2 linked regions of the Drosophila melanogaster genome follow. The gene in region 1 interacts genetically with each later gene. Each region holds a gene or a part of one and is shown on either strand. Other genes may lie near its edges.

The links.
Region 2: of Rok (region 1) and Rho1, changing one suppresses a phenotype caused by changing the other (phenotypic suppression), as found in Drosophila melanogaster (2 studies listed by BioGRID).

Annotation. Positions count from the first base shown.
Region 1 is NC_004354.4:16,631,056-16,641,229, reverse strand, and holds the start of Rok (Rho kinase), read left to right. Parts: upstream 1-3,815; 5' UTR 3,816-4,802; intron 4,803-4,868; 5' UTR 4,869-4,946; coding exon 4,947-5,008; intron 5,009-5,562; exon of another isoform or gene 5,563-5,655; coding exon of another isoform or gene 5,656-5,690; intron 5,691-8,021; exon of another isoform or gene 8,022-8,106; intron 8,107-8,316; coding exon 8,317-8,462; exon of another isoform or gene 8,463-8,476; intron 8,477-8,528; coding exon 8,529-8,785; intron 8,786-8,994; exon of another isoform or gene 8,995-9,085; coding exon of another isoform or gene 9,086-9,428; intron 9,429-9,492; coding exon of another isoform or gene 9,493-10,174. Other genes in the region: SNRPG (small nuclear ribonucleoprotein G), read left to right, coding at 893-924, 990-1,137, 1,200-1,250; RpS19a (ribosomal protein S19a), read right to left, coding at 2,425-2,824, 2,927-2,997; CG9777 (uncharacterized protein), read left to right, coding at 9,086-9,428, 9,493-10,174.
Region 2 is NT_033778.4:16,097,232-16,107,405, reverse strand, and holds Rho1 (Rho1), read right to left. Parts: upstream 4,720-10,174; 5' UTR 4,514-4,719; exon of another isoform or gene 4,457-4,513; intron 4,310-4,456; exon of another isoform or gene 4,098-4,309; intron 3,941-4,097; exon of another isoform or gene 3,796-3,940; 5' UTR 3,788-3,795; coding exon 3,632-3,787; intron 2,374-3,631; coding exon 2,224-2,373; intron 1,690-2,223; coding exon 1,609-1,689; intron 1,547-1,608; coding exon 1,355-1,546; 3' UTR 177-1,354; downstream 1-176. Other genes in the region: CG8414 (uncharacterized protein), read left to right, coding at 4,879-5,296, 5,356-5,571, 5,625-7,712, 7,771-8,036; mRpL34 (mitochondrial ribosomal protein L34), read right to left, coding at 8,105-8,327, 8,391-8,413. UniProt on the Drosophila melanogaster protein: Has a role in regulating actin cytoskeletal organization: required during early development for proper execution of morphogenetic movements of individual cells and groups of cells important for the formation of the embryonic body plan.

The sequences.
Region 1 (10,174 bases):
GTAAACAACACACGCTGCGCTGCGTTCGATTTCGAATGCATTCCAATATAAAATAGAGTTGTCAGCGAATCATGTATTTATCACAATATCACATTCTTATCGTTGCGTTTTCATTGCGTGCTTGTGCGCCAAGGCTTTTCAGTCAGTCTCCGTTTTCAGTCGTAAACACGGCGCGCGGTGTGTAAAAAAAAATATATGCACGATTTGCGCTCCGATTTTAACGCGCATCAGACTTTTCCTCGCGTTTTTTTCGAAATACTATCGTCGATCAGGGGGGCGGGGATTTTATACGGGTGCCTGGGCGAGTGTGACCCTGTGCGATGCCGAAATACCTGTAGCCGGGGTCACACTGCAGCGCAGATCTGCGCTAACCACAAAATAGCCTTTTCACACGGCCGCTACAAGTCGCGTTGATGCGGTATGTTCGCACTGCCTGAAGTAGGGAGGCATATATAAAAAAAATGTCAGCTTCTCTTTCAAGAATCGATTTCAGCAAACAAAATTGGTTAAATAAACTAAGGATTAATGTTTTTTTTTATTTATACTAACCGTTAATAAAAAGTGTGAAAGATCGTTTATGCGGATGCGACGTCTGTTTAAATAAATCGTTTTGCCATTAATAGAATACTGTCATTTACCACTCCTTGTATATATGTTTTTATATTGCGATTTAGAAGGATTATTCCTATGTTATTTGCTATTTGAAAATTTCATTTATGTGAGCACTTAAAAGCCAGCGAATTTGGCGGAAAAATATTTTTCCCGCCCGAAAGTGTGACCAGTTGGTAGAGTGACCAAGACGATAGTATAGCTCCAATCAATAGTGACATCTCTAGCTTGCGGTCCGCGTTTTTACTTAATTTTCCCATTTTGCGCAAATTAAACCATCAAAATGTCGAAGGCCCATCCCCCAGAGGTGAAAAAGTAAGTGCAACCCATGTGGGAAAAAGATAGCGCTCCATAAATGCAATTAACAATACAACTTGCAGATACATGGACAAGCGCATGATGCTGAAACTGAACGGCGGACGCGCGGTGACCGGTATTTTGCGAGGCTTCGATCCCTTCATGAACGTGGTCCTGGACGACACGGTGGAGGAGTGCAAGGACAACACGAAGAACAACATCGGCATGGTGGTAAGATGCGCAGCATACCCTGCCATAAACTATCGACTCACTCGTTTTTCCCACCTGGCCAGGTTATCCGCGGCAACAGCATCGTCATGGTGGAGGCCCTGGACAGGGTCTAGCACCCGCCTCGGAACCCGATCTCGTCGAGCATCGTTAGCCGTAGTGCTTAGTCTTAAGGCTCCGTAACATTCATAGTCAGAAGAAACACACAAACTCTTGAATAAATTCTATAACAAAGATACCCCTTTTTGAACTGACAATTTATATGAGCAGTTTGGAAAATAAGTCGAAAATATTTAATAATATTGCGTACTTTGTGGATTTACTGCATTGGGAACTTGAGTCGGAAGATTGCCACTTTAAATGACGTCGCCAAGACTAGCAAATGTATTTTCCAAGAAATGCAAACACAGATAGCTTTACACATAATTGGTTTCCAAATCAATTTTTGTGCCTTTGATTTTATACAAATGCTTGGCTTCTTGATTTCTTTGTTAATTTAACTTATTTTCGGCTATTAGTGCCTTACTTGTTGAAAGATTTTGGCCATCTCCTTTTGAATTTGTATAACAATGTTCGATCGACAAAATAAAAGGCTACGTCTTTTTAGTCTTCAATCAATGCAAGAAGTTTACTTCAAGTATATCAGAAAGTTCTTTATCCGCAGATTTTATTTGTCGAAATGGAATAGAAAACAAGACACAATATATATTGAAGCAAGGCAGCTCCACCATTTCACCAAAAAGGGAATGATTTAAATCTAAAGATTAACCTTACCAAGTCCGCATGACTAAATTTCAATGAACTATGCTGTCGCACATGAGCAGTGTGTATAGATATAAAATGTTTATTTCTGCAAGGCAAGCAACCACTTAGCACATGGATTGTTAATGAAACTATGCACCTTCTAAGGGCAGAATACCAAACTGATACTGATAGTTTAGCAATAGAAGGAAAGCCATTAACAATGTGAAGGCTCGGTAAAAGTATAAATTGGCTAGTTAATTACGCCAAATGTAGCTGTTGTCCACATTGTTCTTCGCACATGCATATTACTAATATGAGCAGCATCCTGATAAATCTACCACTTTTTTACATTGCCAAGAGGAGCTATTCTATTCCCCTGTTTACAGACCGCATAAAAAATGTTTCTAGCATTCGAAGAACGCATGTTTCGTAGACTTTTACAAATTGTGGTTGGTTTTATTTTCTCATCTCTCTCGTGCAAACAAAAAGCGCTTACAATAGAAGTCTAAAAATGCGTTTTTTAGAATTCGAAGGGGCGCCGTGTGATTACTTGGAAATAACAATGGGCCCGGTCTGCTTGGCGGCATCGCGCTGCTTGAACACGATCTGGTTAGCAATACGGTCCAGATCACGCTGTCCAATGGAGCTCAGTTTGCGACCACCGTCCGGGTGCTTCTCGACCAAACGGGCGTGCTCCAAGGCCTGCAGAGCCTTGCGGGCAGCACCGTCGGCGGCGCGGCAGAAGTGCGAGGGGTGGACACCGTTGCGCTTGCGTCCGCCGTAGATCTTGGTGATCGAACCGACTCCAGCGGGACTGCGGTGGTACAGATGGCGCAGGATCGAGGCGCAACGCACATAGAACCAGTCGGGATCGTAGGGCGCCAGCTCCTTGAATTTGGCGGTCTTGACGATGTCCATCTGGTCGGGCACCTTCAACTTGCCAGTCCTATTTGGTTTTTTTCGTGTTTTTTTTTTTTTTTTTGGGGGGGGATAAACAAATGGATTGTGAGGTTATGTGGTGGAAATATACTTGATGTTCAGTACTCACTTCTTCAAGAAGACGGCGACCGCCTTGGTAACCGCGTGCTGGTCAATATCCTTCACTGTGACGCCTGGCATCTGCGGGCAGAACGGGAAAAACAAATGGGGAATCTATTACAATGCTGCCAAAAACACGTTGTCGCGATTTCCACGATTCTCTCACAGACACACTCTTTCTCTCTCTCTCTCTCCCTCGCACACACACATGCACGGGCACAACAAAAAATTGCCAGCCGAAGTTTTAACCCGAAAAAAGCTGTCCTTTCGTGTTTACGGCCGGCCCATTGTGTCATTTGCCACTTGGCGTGGGCTCTTTCATTGAATTTCACCCATTCAAAACATAAAAAAAAAGATAATTCACTTGAAAAGAATTCGTGCACAACCTTTCTCGTTAAAGTCAACCGGAAAAAAGAACAAGGCGCGTGAAGTTGGCTGCGGTTAATAGTGCTGGGCCTGCCACCAGCAATAGTATCGATTAATCGAATGCCGGCGCGGCGAACTATCGAAGATTCGGTTAATGATACTCTAACACGTATGTGTTCAATTTATAGTTATTTTTAAAAATATTTAAATTAATGAGCACACCAAGATTATATTATATATTACTTGGCATTTGAAGACCTTGTCTAAACATGCATTTTCGTATTAGTATATTTTCAATGTGGGCAAAGAATGCGTAGTACAATTCATATTTTGCTGTATCACTTTATTCATAAATAACTGCTTTTTATTTTGTTAGCAACCGATTTACATAACTATTCATGAAGCTAGTTTCTGAGTCTATCGAATAACAAGCGGCCCATCGATGACGCAGACAACCGATATTGCCGCAGCACCATCGCCATTTGGAGCGCCACCTGTTGGCCCTGGTATATTCTGGTATTTTCATCGGCGCCTAGTGACTTCGATACTTCAACTTCGATATGTAAACACAATTGCCATCTCTACCAGCACCGAGCCGAAATAAAATAAGTGCAACGCGCAGCGTCTAATTGAAACCAAATTGATCTATTTGGCCGCGGCCGAAACTGGACATTCGCAATTTGGGCGGTCAGCCGCCCCCGTCCCGTCCCGCCCCCCCGTGCGTTTCCCCCGCTGCCGACGGACAGTACGTCGGTGTGACGCACATCGGTGTGTGCGCGCGTGTGTGTGTGTCTGTGAAGCGCCTTGTTATTGTTGTTGTAGCGCTTGCTACGTTCGCCGTTCGCAGTGCACTGGTGTGCGTGCGCTCGTGTAAGTGTGTGTGCACAGAGGTATCGTTGGAATTAACAAAAAAATAGAAGAAGGAAAAAGCTACTTGATTGGGGCACACAAAAACCAACAACTCAAAAGGCCGAGAAACAAAAGCCCACCTTCAACACCACCAATCCGCCGCATTCGACACATTTTGGCCAGGTTTTTGGCCACAAGTGTTGACACAACTGTTGCATGCCAAGCGGACTGCGGACAATAATCCCCGTTCCCTTGTTTACCCAACAATCCATCGTGGTCAACGTGATCATCCTGGTCATTACGATCCCATTTGCACAGGAAGTAAACTAGATTGATAGCATTTTCCGGGAATCGATAGCACACCTGCCTGCCGTGTGGGAAACGCACCTGGGAACGCCCGGGTGCTCGGCTGCGTCCGCATGTGGCGTTGGCGGCACTCCACCAAAAGAAGCCAGCGCCAAGTGCCCAATCCCCATACCCATACCCATTCCCATTCCCATCCCCATCCGTATTCGATTGGCGTTCAGTGGCAGCAGTTAGCCAGAAATCCAACGAAACACTCGTGACCTCATCGCCAGCAAACAGCAAACAACTAGCGCTTGACGCGTGCCTCCTCTCCTCATTACTATTAGCATTCCCAGCATAGACAGACGTCCAACAACTCCTGGCAGGTAAATGTACAATATAAATATGTGTACCCCGAAGAGAACTCTGTTAAACCCTTGCTTCGCTTTCAGTTGCAGCACAGGAGCAGCAGTTGACCAACAGGAAGCAGCAGCTGGAGCAGCAGTATCAGCTTGTTATCTTGCATTTGCATGCCAGCTGGACGAGAAACTGTGACCAAGCAGCGCAGCATGGATGTGGAACGAAGGCGCCGGTGAGTGCACGAGATGGCGGCCCAAAAGCGACTGCTCCACTCAATTAATTGTCACCTGAATGGCAGCATCAGCAGCAGCAGCAGCAGCAATAGCAATAGTAGAAGTCGAAGTAGAAGTAGAAGTGGCAGTAGCCATCGCACAGATACGTGCGATTTGTACAGACAGATTTGTGATTTGTTCAACTGACCAAGCCAAGCAGGCAGCTAAGCAGCTAACCAGCTAACCACCTAACCAGCCAACTAGCCAGCTAGCACAATTCAGCGCAAGCCAAACGGGCCTGGCCAAAACAAATCAAAAAGTAATACACCGCTGGCAAACACCTTCCATATCTCATGTTCAAAGCGACAGCGCGGCAATCAAATTGACAAGCGAGTGAACAAAACGGGGGGCGACTTTATAATAAATTTGCCATTTTCGCATTAAAATTTGTAACCAAACCAAAAAGAAAAAAAACCAAAACGAAAACGAAAAGCGAACTAAAACGAACGCACAGTGGCTGATGCCGCCGTTTGTCAGTTGCAGGCGTCGCGTTGCATCGGCTGCATCGTTTGCATCGTTTTGGGCCAAAAAGGTAGAATAGATAGCCAGCACCACGCCGGTTTCTTCCATTGGACAGTAGACGGTATAGGGCATGGGGACATGGCTAATGCCCGCCGCCCTCCATTCGTGCGAGCCGGAACGGTACGTTGTTCTCATCTCCACGCTCCTAGCATTCAGCATTCAGCATCCAGCTCTCAGCTACCAGTTGTCGTCCTGGTTCGCTTGCATTCCAAATTCCGAGAATACAATTTGCCCAGCAATTCCGCAGCGTCGAGTATGCATATAAATACTTAAATTTAATTACCCATCCCCACTCGGTATCTGCTGTAAGCAGTCATAAGCGAAGCAAACGTTAAGGCATTTGCGTACTAACAATGGCCAATTGCAATGCGCATTTGGTTATAAAAGCCGAACAGTTCCTTTGTGCTGCCTGGGCAAATAATTAATTAGAATTAATAAGGTGTGAAGAGATTCTGCAACGCAGATGCAGTACCACTCTCTATCTCTGTGTGTTGAATGTGAAGCGTTCAATTTGTAAAAACTGGCAGATCGAATTTGGCGACGTTGTATAAATTAAGTTGAAAATTATATTGTCTATAGGTGACGATAATGTTGTCGTCGTCGTCGTCATCGTCGTCGTTGGTTATTATGTATTATTATTGCCGTTGTTGTTGTCAATAATGTTGCTCATAATTATGTTGTTGTTGCCATTTTGCCGCTTTGGCCAAATCGAAATCAACAGCGGCAACGAAAATTCATCGCAGCATTTTTGAAAATTCCACTTTCCCAAGTTGTTTGCTTTTGTGTATGGTGTGTGTGTGTGCTGCTATTACCCGCTGCTTGAGCGTTTTGTTTTTGGCTTTTCTGTCATGCCGTAAGTGGCGATGATGAAATCACAACAATTCAAACACCTTTTAGTATCAATTTTTAGCGCCGACTGTCATCGCAGTTTGCCTGCTCCTGCATCTGAGTCTGACTTTTGCTTGCTGGGCACCGAAATTCGATTCCCAATCGCTGACAGACTGACTCCGCATCTCCGACATCTTGCATCTTGCTAATTGCACATAAATCTTGGTTACGGGAATTAGTTTTTGACCGGAAAATGCCTTTAAATTTAGAAATTCAGAACCAACGCACTGGCAGGCCAAATTTAATTGTTTCATTCTTTGCCGAATATGTAGTTTAATTTGCCGAGAAATTCCATTTGAAAGAGCGCTTTTCCCATGCTCTAGTAACCTCGTATGCAAATACCTAATTGTTATAATTAATTTTCTATATATTTACATTCGCAAGATTTTATTTTCCATGATTTATGTACATACATACACTCTCCGAAGAATGAACCTTACCTTTTTGTTTACATTCAAAAGTAAATAAGCAATTTGTATATTCTTAATATCATTTATAAAGAATGAAACGCTTGGTGAATCAGAGCAGTGTTTTTGTTTTTTGAGATTTTAAAATCCGCACTTACTGATAAAATAATATAGCGTACTATGCTTTTTACTATACTATAGTTACGTAAATATTTGATTCATGAAAATGCATAAATTAACCGGCTCCCCTGATAAATATGTTTGTATAAATGAAAGTCATTGTGCCTGAATCAAAATCAAGCCATTTAATATTCCACGAATATTATTAATTCTATATCAGTTGTAAAGATAACAACTTGATTTTTCCTTGTGATATCTGTGTACCGATGTGTGTCCACCAACAAGGTGGGCAGTTGGTTCCATTCGCACGGCGGTTAGAACCTCCAGTGTGCTCATCATTGTATCAGCTCCAACTGCTCAAGTGCGCCGTATCAACGGCAAGTTTGCTGTCAGTGGCCTGCACATGGCTTGCATTCATTGCATTGCATATTCCATTCCATTCCATTCCATTCCATTTCATTTTATCAGAGTCGCCAACAGCGTGGGGTGATAAAGTCAAGGCCCCTCCTCGCCCCCTCCTCCACTACTTTGGCACTTTGGACTCCCCTAACATTAGCTGGACTATGCCTATGCCAGGTTATCAATGGTGGCTAGTGTTTCCAGTGCGATAACGCCTTCATCTGTATCCGTATCATGTGCCGCCCATTTGTCTGCCGCTAAAAAGCGCCCGATTGGGACAAATCTCCGGGGCATTCGGTGTCTGTCCGCTCCTCCACTGACTCACCGCCACTTCAATTCCAAGATCTGAAAGCCTGTCGCTGTTTTTGTTTACACTGTCGCTGTGCAGACAGTTGCGGTCAATGTGTTAGCACTTAAGTACTCTACTGTCGAATTGATCTAGAATTACTTATTTCGATCTGTAAATTGCCGCCCCGCCATCATGGGCTGCAACTCCTCCCTTCAATAATAATGTTTATATCCAATTCACGGCCACTCGAATTCGTTGAATCGTTAATAATAGGAAATCTTAAATTTAGAAACGATGTGCGAACCTATTAATGCCATTACTTGGACCGCAGCTGTTTGCCTGGGTGATGGGGTGGGTGTACCCGGAAAGTGGTGTTTACACGTCCCGTCCATGAGTAATCTGCGCACTTTCCCTCATAGTTCCTCCTCGTTTTCCCAGTTTCATTTTATTTGATTTGTTCGTTATTTGTTTGTTTGTTTATGCGAGCGATTTGCATGACGACCAAGCGGTGAGGAACCAGTTGAACAATCAAACACTCAGACACAGCAGATGATTAATTTCGTATATTGGAACACTTCTAATTTACAATATCTCTTTACCATATATTAACTATATCTCTCTTTTCATATTTCCGTTTTCCCAGGGCGAATACGCTCGAGCGCGAGATGCGCGATCCGACCAGCATCTGCAATGTGGACTGCCTGCTGGACACGGTGTCGGCCTTGGTCAGCGATTGTGACCACGAGTCCCTGAGGCGGCTTAAGAACATCGAGCAGTATGCGGCCAAATGTGAGTGGTTATGTCTATTATCCCAATGATAATCGGTTATTATACTTTCACTTCTTCGTTTTGCAGACAAACCATTGGCAATGCAGATCAATCAGCTGCGCATGAACGTCGAGGATTTCCATTTTATCAAACTCATCGGCGCCGGCGCCTTTGGAGAGGTGCAGCTGGTGCGGCACAAGTCCTCCAGCCAGGTGTACGCCATGAAGCGGCTGTCCAAATTCGAGATGATGAAGCGACCGGACTCCGCGTTCTTCTGGGAGGAGCGACACATTATGGCGCACGCCAACTCCGAATGGATCGTTCAGCTGCACTTTGCATTTCAGGTGAGCTGGACTCTCAGTCCAACTTTAACTTAAATTTGAATAGGAAATGTATGTACGATATATTAGTTTAGTTTAGCTTTAAGTAAATTGTTTGTTGGGTAAAAGAAATAACTCATATATACATATCTGGATACCCATGCTTTAGCTGTCAGTCAGTTTGACTGTCCTGACAGGGTTTCCGATCAAATCGAATCACTTCTCAACTGGCAACCAAACGAAACGCATCTCAACTGTCTAACAAAACAAGATTTGACAAAGTGTTAAAAAATTTGAAAAAAAAAAAATTACAATACAATAATCATGTACAATTTGATAAAAAGTCGCACACTCTCCGACTACTTAAAGAAGCCAATGCCGCCAAATTCTTTGAATAATGGCGGCAAAACAAACAATTCCGTGGGTAATACCAACAATCCGGCCGGAAATCTAAGTCCTGTTGCCGAAGAATGTGTGCCGCATCCAAAGAACAAAGAGCGTACGCTCGTTGAGGATTTGGCCAAAATAAATAAACTGTTCGAGTATCTGGAGGCTTCAGCTACGGACGATATGGATTTAGATAATTCAACTGTCGAGGATGTGGGAAAGGAAAGTTTATCGAATACGGTGCAGGCATGGAAAGAAGTTCCCAATATAAAAAATAAATGTAAGGGAGCTAATAGCTCATCGGTAGGCTTATTTGGTATGCTTTAAATACGCTCTCTTTTTAGATTTTATCGGAGAACAGGTGCCTGTGATGGATACTTCCGACTTTATGCTTATTTCTCGCAACAAGGCAAAGAAGACTTTGCGTGCCAGGCAAATGCGTCTTGAGCAGGAAAGAAAGGTGGCTCTGGAAGCCGCGAAATTGACCGAACAAAAAGGCATGGGGGATCCTTCTTCGGTTCCAGGCAACGATAGCAACGATAATGAAGCCCAGCCAGTTGTGCATCTGTCTCGTTCGCCCATCAAATATTCTATGGATGAACGCACTGGAGTCAATCGCATGCGAGCCACCAAAAAGAAGCAGATCGAGCGTGCTCTTTTCTCTGAGAATTCGATGCAATTGGATCAGGAGCAGATGCAACTAGCTGTCGAAGAAGACGAAAACCAAAAGGCTGACGGTCCGGTGGCCGCTTTGACTCACAAAAGATATATACCCACCCACAAGGAATGGGAAGAGCAGCGTCGTCTTAAAGCCGAAAACTCGCAAACCACAGTGGACCAGATGACTCCGGCCACCACGATGACCGCCAAAAGATACATACCCACCACCAAGGAATGGGACGAACAGCGTCGTTTCAAGCTTAAGGCCAAGATGGAAACTAAAAAGAACGCCACTTCGGCCAATTCAACTAACGAACTTGGGGCGGAGAAACGCAAAGGGAATAGCACTCATTATGGAGCAAATAT
Region 2 (10,174 bases), on another chromosome or scaffold:
AAAAAAATTAAATACAAAAGCACAAAATAAACAAAAACAATACCCTCAATAAAGATTTTTTTAACCCCGTTAAAGATAAGTGTTTTGACTTTAAAGGGCGGGTATTCCCCGGATTTAAATCCATTATCTTAGCCTAATAAAATTCGATGCCCGGCCAAATAAGAAAACAGTTAGTTAAACCAAGAGTAGATCAAATGTACTGTTTATTCATAAGTATAATATAGTTTGGTTGTATCTGATGCATCTTCGAGTTTTTCAACTTCTGTGTGAGAATTACACGATTGACGGTACAAAATACAAAAAAAGAGACATACACATATGTACTGTATAGTATAATTATATGTATAATCGTATTTTATAAAATCATAAAATACTCTTCATATAGTTGTTTGGTTGTTTTGTAGTATCTTTTTTTTTTTATGTTTTCCACTCGTTTTAATGCAAAGTACAAATATTAAAAACTCGCTTAATGCGCTCGAAATAGTTTTTCACTTCATCAAAAATTTTCCCTCTTAGCATCTCCCACGCGAAAACTGAATGCATCTCATTTGTGGCTTACGTTTAGTTAAATAAACATTTATCGTTTTTGTTTTGTTTTGTTTTGTGTTTAGTTCGGCTCTTGTAATGTAGTTTCGCTTCCAACTCCTATTGGCGGCCTGGTCTCTCTGTATTTGATAGATTTAATGGGAACATAACTCTCATCTTGACGCCTACGACCTCCTTGGACCCCGGGATCCAACATCCGATTCCGTTTCCGATTCTGTTCCTAATTCCACTGATTCACCTGACTCACTCACCCTCGCATACGACACAATCTCGTCCAGCCACAGCCGACTCTACACTTGACAACACAGTTAACGAAATAATAACATACATCTAGGAGGAGGGGGTGGACAGAAACGGACACAACTTGAATATGTTTACATATATCGATATATATTTTTTGCTTGCAGTGGCTGACTGATTGATCTGCTCTGCCCTAGTTTTTACAAATAATAATGCCAGAGTTATTACTGTTGTTTACTTCGGTTTATAACTACACTAGACTGTATATAAAATCAAATCCGCATTTGACATTCTACTTGGTGCTGCCTTCCCTTATATCTCGCTGCATCCCTCCTCCGCTGATCTTCTAGCTCAAGCTCTCTGTTTTCTGCTCATGTTTGTTGCTGGTTGGGTGGTGGTGCAGCTTCGTGTATCCGATGTTCTGGTTGTTCTTGATGTTGTTGTTGAGTGGTTGTTGTTCAGCTCGTTATTGTTGTAAAAGGTGTGTATGTGTGTTTGTGTGTGTTTATGCTGTTGTTTTTGCTGTGTGTGTGTGTGGTAAAGATTTTCATGTTGTTGATTTGCTCTTTTAGAGCAAAAGGCATCTGGTCTTCTTCCTCTTTTTGACTTGCAGCGCGGCCCTAGTTGCCGTCTCGAAAACATCTCGCACACCCTCCTTGGACTTAGCCGAACACTCCAAATAGGCAAAGGCATTAATCTTCTCGGCCATGGCGCGACCCTCCTGCGGCTTCACCGGCTCCTGCTTCATTTTTGCTAGATCCTGTAAAATCAAGTTTAGTTTAGTGCTGCAAGTTCACCTCGTTCAACAGCGCGTATACGTACCCGAATTGTGTTGGGATCATTTCGCAAATCTTTCTTATTTCCTACCAAAATGATTGGAACATTTGGACAAAAGTGTTTGACCTGCAATAATGTAGTAAGGATTAGTATCATATTTTGATATCAGATTCCATATAGTCGAACTGCAAAAACAAGTAATTCGTAATTGGGAACCACTTACTTTCTTCTTATCTATATCTATCATTATAAATTAAAGGCTGAGAAGTAAGGAAATGATTCAGAAAGTCAAAGCAAATTGGCTCATAGCAGACTATTTTTAGTGATTAAACTAGAAATAACCAACAATTCTATTAAACTTTCCTCGTTCTAAACCAAAACCAGTCTTTCAGATAGCTTCAATGACATAAACAAGAACACAGAGATGCATAGTCTTAAAGATTCCATATCATAAGCAAATGCATTCGATAACTTCAAAAATGTTTAATATATTTTAACTGGAGTTAAAAGTTCAACTTTTTCCAAATTTGCATCATTACATAAAAATTAAAAACATATTTTGTCTAGACTTGTTAGTTCCGTATAGTATATATATATATAGTACCATACTTGTTTACGATCGTCTGATAGAAACTGTTCTGTAATTCCAGTTAAACTCACCTCTGGGGTCCATTTTTCAGGAATATTTTCTAGCGAATCGGGTGAATCCACTGAGAAACACATCAGTATGACGTCAGTGTCGGGATAGCTCAGCGGTCGTAGTCTGTCGTAGTCCTCCTGCCCGGCCGTATCCCACAAGGCCAGCTCCACCTGGAGAATCGGATGCGGATTATGATTGAGAGTTACGCTTGCAGTTGCGGTGTCGTCAGGGTTATAGATAGATGGGGCTTTTTGTGGCACGGGACGGTGCGATGCGGGCTCGGAGGAGAATGGGACAAGTTCGAGTTGAAGATAGCATGAGTGCGAGTACGAGAGTGTGAGCAAGGAACTTGACGGAAATGCCAAACGAATTAATCACATCGAAGCGAGGCGAAGTGGAATGACGTGAACTTGTGTGTATGTAAACGCTATCCAAACAGAAACACAAACAGAAACTGAAAATTGAAAACCCGCCATATTGCGCAGCAAAGGCAAACACACAGTGTTTATTTCGAAAAAAAGCGCCTGAAAATACTGTAGATCCCAAATGGAATATATGAACGAACATATAGCCAAATCATGACTTGATGCCCCAATGGAAAACGCACATTACATTCCATAGAGTAAGGGAGTGCGCGGTGGAGCGGGAGAGCGCTCCCCCCCCTTAGAAGAGAGTACAGGTAGGCAGGGAGAAAGAGTAAGAGTGAGAGCGCCCGAGAGAGCAGCAGAAAGAGCGGGGGGCGGCGCAACGCATTAAACTGTATGTGCGCAACGGACTTGTATAAGACAAATACAAAATAAAAAGAAAAGAAAACGAGCGGAAGGAAGGGAGCAGCACTACTTCTGTGTGTGTGTGTGTGCTGCCAACTCTCTGTTGAGCATGTGTGCGTGTAAGTGTGGGGAAATGTGCCCAAGTGTGACTTAATCACTGCTATCAAAACTTTGAATTCTTCGGAAAAATCCAAATTTGCACTCCACTTAACCAAAAATGATCTTAATTTTTCTTTTGCTTTTCCAGACACCTTTATTTATGGATGCGTCTGTGGGCATGAGGCGATATTGACTCATTTCATTTTACAGGCGAAGAAAAGGAAATACAACGACCAAGGTGTGGGTGAAGTTGTGGGTGGCACAAACAAGAGAACAATAAACACACACCCATGGGAACACACACCCGCACACACACACACACACACACACACACACACAGAGGCGGGTGGAAAGTGTAAGGAGGATACGCGCACTTGAAAAACGGAATGAATTGAGAATGCACACAAATTATAAAACGAGATCAGACGATTATCACTTGGATGGCAGGGTGGGGTTATCAGGGGAGGGGGGTCAGCCACCGGTTGGGGGTGGCATTCAGAGTGGTGGACGGGACGGGTAGTTAGGGGAGGGGCGGGCCTGTCCGGGAAAAGGGGCTTACCTGTTTGCCATCCACCTCGATGTCGGCCACATAATTCTCGAATACGGTGGGCACATAGACCTCGGGGAACTGATCTTTGCTGAAGACAATCAGAAGGCAAGTTTTACCGCAGGCACCGTCGCCGACAATTACCAATTTCTTGCGAATCGTCGTCATTGGAAGTTCTGCAAAAGGCAAAATCAAACTGTAGCTAGATGCAATGCAAGTGCAGCGGATGCCCGAGGATTCCGAGTCCGATTCTGAATCCGAATACAATTTTCGATTCCGAATCCGAGTCAGCCGTTCTGTTTTATATATTCGCGAAAACTGAACGAGCGCCTGTTCAAAAAATTATCAAAATGAAAAAGCCACACACACACTCGCATACAGTCACACGCACACTGGTGGACACACAGCACAAATACACTCGCGCGCTCGCTCTCTTTTCCGATAGCCCTCTCCCGCTCGCGCACACACTTAGTCATACTTGCGGCTGGACGGCGATCTAATAGTATAAAGTGTGGGGTTCTTTCTTATCTGGCCATTGTCCATTGTCCGTTAGCCGAGTTTTTCCCGTTTTTCTTTACGGTTTTTCGCATTCGCATTTTCATTTTGGTCGCGTCATAGGGCCGCCCGCTTCTCCACCCCTCTCTCCAACACTCCAGGAAACTCCTCTCTCCGCGCCCGTCCCGCTCACACTTTATTCCAAAAACATCTCATCATCCACTCTCGGTATGGCTGTGTGTGTGTGTGTGTGCGTGTGTCTGTTCGCCTCTGGCTGGGCGTGCGTGCATTTGTGTGCGTGCTGTGTGGAATTTTTTCACTTCTGCTCTTTCGGCCACTTACAATTTATATTGGTGATTTCACAACACTCAGCACGAATTCGACACTTAATTTGCTTACAAAATGGCACAAATTTGTTGATTCTTATGCGTCTACCGTTTAGCTATATCGTATAAAAGTTAATGCAATTACAAAAATTCGAATTGAACTCGACGATTTTTTCCCATGCAAAATGACGATGAACAATGTTCATCCGTTTCATTTCTCGGTAGCGGGATGAACGCTCGATGACCAACCAACGCCTTCGAGCGCAGGGCTGTTATTAACCCAATCGATAGTTCTCATCGATGGCAACTCTGTGCGCGTTATTCCCATGACCGACCACGACTGGTAACACCGCACATATGTTATTCTTGCTCTTCTTCTTAAATTTGCGGTCGCATGGCCCGGGAAGTATTGGTAGTTCAGCAAAAAACTGAAAAGGAATGCTTGACGAACATATTCTGAAAGAAATGAAACTGAGCTTCCAGCTCACCGAACAGCGAGAACTAGCCTCTGGTCGCCGTAAGCCGGAAAAACCACAACACCCACCTGCTGTTCCAAAGAAAAAAGTTATTTCAAAGGTGGCCAGCAATCCTGCAAAGATTTCGGAAACAATGATTCAAAAAGCCCAGATGGAGTCGCCCAAAAAATCCAAGAAAAATAAGACAGCCGGCGCAAAGAGACCTCTTTCCAATAATGTGTCGAATCCAGACAGTTCACCATCCCAGAAGAGGCTTAAAAAGGATAATACCCTACCCAAAAAGAATCCTGTAAATAAATCCTCAAATGTTGCAGCTAAAAAATCTGCAGCAACAAGCAAAAGTGCTAAGCTTCCTATTCCCAAGGTTCATAGTATAAATGGTATGCATTAGATCCAGAATTACAACCTCATTTTATTTTAATATATATGTATTTTTCAGAATTAGCTCCTAAGAAAACCAAAGTCAAGACGCCAAATAAAACAAAAGAAGCAAGTTTATCTAAGAAACATAAGGTAAATGGAAACAAGAGCTCAATGAAGGTCGTACAAAATGGTAAAGTAGTAGAGATAATTGGTACTGCAGCGGAAACAAGTGACATTGAAATGAATTCATTGGATGATTGGAGTGAAGAAGACGATTATTTAATTGAAAGTGGTAAGGAATTTTTAATATTACTCTTGTTTCTTAACTTAAACTATGTTTTTTAGACTCTGAAAACGATGTAGTTGAAGAAATAGACGAGACATTTCTTAAAGATCCAAAGATTTTTAAGGTCAAATGCAAAGGCCCCGAATACAAGTTATCAGATATTCTTCCTCCTTTTGAACACGATGAATACCAACCTCTTTTGTTGGATGGGGATGGCAGTGGAACAGTTCGAAAGATTAAGGTATTTAAAAGTGCACAGGAAGAAACTGACAGCGACGAAGATGACATTGATTATGAGCCAGAAGATAGCGATGACTTTGGATCGGAGGAATTTGACAGCGAAGAGTCTGACAGTGAAGACACAAGCAGCGCAGACTATGATAGTGATGGAGATTTCTACAGTGAATATAGCGATATGGAGGATGTTAGTGACAGCGATAGTGAAGAATTCGGAAGCGATATCTTCGACACCGACGACCTCGATTCAACTTATGAGCCACCTGACATTGAGGGATTCTTCGATCATCCACCTGTGGGTATGCAAAGAGAGCCGCTTATTATAGAGGAAATCTTCGACGATCCGCCTGTGGAAAAAAAGCAAGAACGTATTGAACAGTCAAGTGTTATGGATATTGTTGTAAAAAACTTAAGCAGTGTGCCCCCAAAGAAGGAGTCTGAAGTTGCAATTGAAACCGAAGAGAATGATGAGGTATCACTGCCTGAAGTTGTAACACCAGAAAAGGAAAATTATCTCCAACCAAGCGATGTCCCGTTTTACAGAAATCCGCAAGCGAATCCCACTGAGCTTAGCGTCTTTGAGAACAGTCTGAAGAGCAATCATGTGCTGGCCGTGATTAAGGAGGACCTCGAAGTTTATGGCACACTAGTGTTGACTCTACTCTGTGGTCAAATATCAGTAAATGGTTACAGAGCACGCAGGCAGGAAGCAATCACAATTTATTCTCCTAAAGGCCTTAATTGGGTATCTATTTCGCCAACCAAGACTAAAAAACCTGTAAAAGATGAGGTAAATTGGGAAGAACTCAACAAGAACTTTACACGCGCCCAGCTAGACAGGATTAAGACCAGCTTTCAGCGTCAGACGAATGCAATAGTACTGCTCCACCGAAACACAAGTGCCCAGCAGCTCGTCGATACCTTTGGCAAGCACATGGCGCAAAATGTATTCCCACTTGTCAATTCTTCCAATCGACCATTTGGCCAAAGTGAAACCCTGTTGCACTGTCTGATTCAATCGAGCGATCAAAGTCGCACTCTCCAAGTTCCGCAGGTTTGGAATAAGTTACAAATGCATGCAACGAGCCGAATAATCGTAGCCGGTGGTAAGGGCGTCGGAAAGTCTAGTTTATTGCGTTACCTCATCAACCGAAATCTGGGTCAATTCCCATCCATGCTGCTCATCGACCTGGACATTGGTCAGCCGGAAATATTTGTACCCCAGACTATTTCTTGCACCGTAATTGATGAGCCCCTTCTGGGACCGGGCTTCCTGTACAACAGGCAGCCGGAACATGCCATTGTCGTGGGCCACACCAACATTGTCTTGTGCGCAGAGCAGTATGCCCGAGCAGTTATTCAGCTAGTCCAAAACATTCAGAACGATGCCAAGTATTCAAATATTCCTTGGCTGATAAATACGATGGGCTATAATAAGGGATTTGGTATCGAATTGATGGCTCTGCTGGTGGATCGCATTCGTCCCACGGATCTTGTACAGATTGCCAGTCCCATTCCAATCAATAACTTTGATTCTGTCCTCGACCGGAACAGTCTGTCGCAGATAAAACCAATTATATACTCTGCGGAGGAGTTCAAGATCAATGAAATACCAAAATACACACTCCATAAGCTGATAAGTGCAGTGCCTGCAAGGGAAAAAGGAACTTGGAGTCTCAGCGCCAAGGACATGCGGTACTCCAATCTTCTGGCACGTCTCAGTTCCTGCCTGACTGGAAATGCCAAATCTCTTACAGACTGCCAGCCGTTGGGAGTGTCTTTGGAATCCCTGAAAATCCTGCATCCCACCAGCAAGAATTACTCGCGCGAAGAACTGATTCGAGGCATGGAGGCTAATGTAGTATATCTGTGCCATCACGGAGCAGGTCTGCCCCAATGTTTGGGAATAGGTTTGTACACATTCACGTTCTTTTGTGGCTTATTAATTGAATTCCAAAATTCTTTTAGGTGTGGTTCGCGCCATCGACTACGAGCGCAAGGAGTTATACCTGGTGCCAGCAATGCCGCTACAAAAGATGTCCCTGGTGGATTGTCTTATCCTCGGCGGGGAACAGTCCCTGCCGCAGGGCTTCCTTCGGGATCAGGGCCAAGGTGTGTCCAGCAGTGTGCCCTTCGTGTTCATCCTTGACGATTCGAAATCTTCGAAGAGTATTCAGCAGATCTACCATCGAGCGCCAGCCTTTCTGGGAGTACCAGCGAATCAACGAAACTAAAACTGAGCTTACTGTAGCAATCGCAATCGGATAACATTGTAAATAAAGTTAGGTTTATTAACACAAGGCTAGTGTGACAAATTGTGACGTCCTTTGAGGATCCGGTTCATCAGCACTCGTCGTCCCTCAGGCGTCGACATCCTAGCATTCCAGCCGTGGACATTAATTCTCTTCACCTCCATGGGTTTCGGAAAATGGCAGCGTACTTTCGGTTTCAGCACCGCCCGGTTGAAAGCGTGCTTATCCCGCACGATTAGAGTTTGTGCGGTGCTGACAACCGCCAGGCAGGTCCTGCAATGCCAATGTATGTTATTATACCACTCAAAATAAATGGTATATTCATTATTTACTCGCCTTTGGAGCATTCCTTGCAGCATGTTAAGTAATTTCCAGTTAGTATGACCGCATGAAGTCCGAATAATACCGCCTGAACAGCCGGTAAGCCGCTTTGGCGTTGCCAGACCATTGGGTTCGAAATTTCGAACTTAGCTGCATGCTATTTTACGTTAGCATGTAAAATGCATTACATATAGATGGAATCATACAATTAATCTAAAAAATCGTCATAATATTGGTCAAATGGAAAACCACCATATGGGGACAAATTAGATAAACCGCTTTTAATTGAATGGATCTGAAAGTAACCGAAAACTTTTTAAATATGGAATGAATATGTTTGGTTGTACATATATCGAATTGGTATTGTGCCATCTCTAGCTACCCACGATGGTTGTGGCAGCGCAGCTGTTGCAAATGAATCCACAAGATACATTTCGGTATATTTTCCGCAACGGATTCTTTTCCACCCTCAGTTGCGGTCACACTGCCTAGCCAACAACAACCACAACTCGGTGCCGTTAGGGCTGCGTTTGTTTTCTGCTCCCATTCAGCTGCATAGAAAAGAAAGAAAAGTGAAAAGTGTTCGGAAAACAGGCAGCATGTGAAGCATAATTACTCCACGGAATTACTATCTCAAACGAAATAGTTGTCGCCGAAAAGAAGTGCGTAAAATCGCGAGTGAGCTCGTGAAAATAGAATAAAAAAGCGCTCTGCAATTGAAGAGAAACATTGCTGCAGTCGTGTGTACGTGCGTGTGTTTGTGCGTGCGAGTGTGAGTGTCGCTCTCTGGACGCAATTTCTTTGGCCAAAAGAGTGGGGAAGTGGGGCAGGAGAGTCCCGAATCGAATCCCCGAAACAGGCAATCCGAATCCGAATCCGGTGCATTAAAAATAGCGCAACGAGGTGAGTAAAGATGCAAACTGCAGCATTCAGTTCACGAGCTGATGCCAACAAAAAGAACTCCAATTAGCCATGTCTGCAGCCAGCCAAAAAAATAATGAAGAACGGCAGAAAAAATACAACAAGAAAATCGATTTTCCTGAACTTACAATTTTCTCCGCCTCACTGGGCAAAAGGGGGGGCGAAATGGAGCTTGGGGAGCCGGCTACGGCTCCATAAAGTATACATAAATTGAATTTCGAAACACGGAAGCGAAATGGATGCACTGGACGAAATAATGAATAAATTATTTTGATATCGAAAAGTTATTCTCGTTAGAAAAAGTTTCGCTGAGGGTCTCGAACGCAGTCTGTTTTTATAAAAGCATATTATTTAGCCTTATCAAGCAAGAGGATGAATAAAATTGCATTAAAATGTATTTCGACTAAATTTCGACTTGCTATACTTTATTTCTCTGCGTGTAAAAGGGGGCAGGAGGCTGCACACGGCTGTTGTTCTTGTTTTGTTTGCTGGTGTGGATGATGATGGAAATACTTGCATATGTGTGTGCGTTCTGCACAGAGGGAGATGTAAAAATTGAAAAATCTGACCAGAAGCAGGACCCTCCGACTTTTGGTCCAGTTGTCATGGCCACCGCACTTAACAAATGATTTTAGCGGCCACTTTTTCCCGGATGCGAATGGGGCAGCTGTCACTCCGTTTGCCTCCTCCTCCTTTTCTCCTTTTTCTGATTTCATCTGTCTGCCCCTTTCTATCTTGCTCTCTCCCCGTGTTCTCCAACGTGTGTGTGTGTGTGTGCGTATTTTGATGACGGCACTCAGTTTCCGCCCGCACTGTGATTTTTGGCCATACACGGCACCAATGTTTCAGTACAGTGGAACCTGGTGCGCAGGAACCAA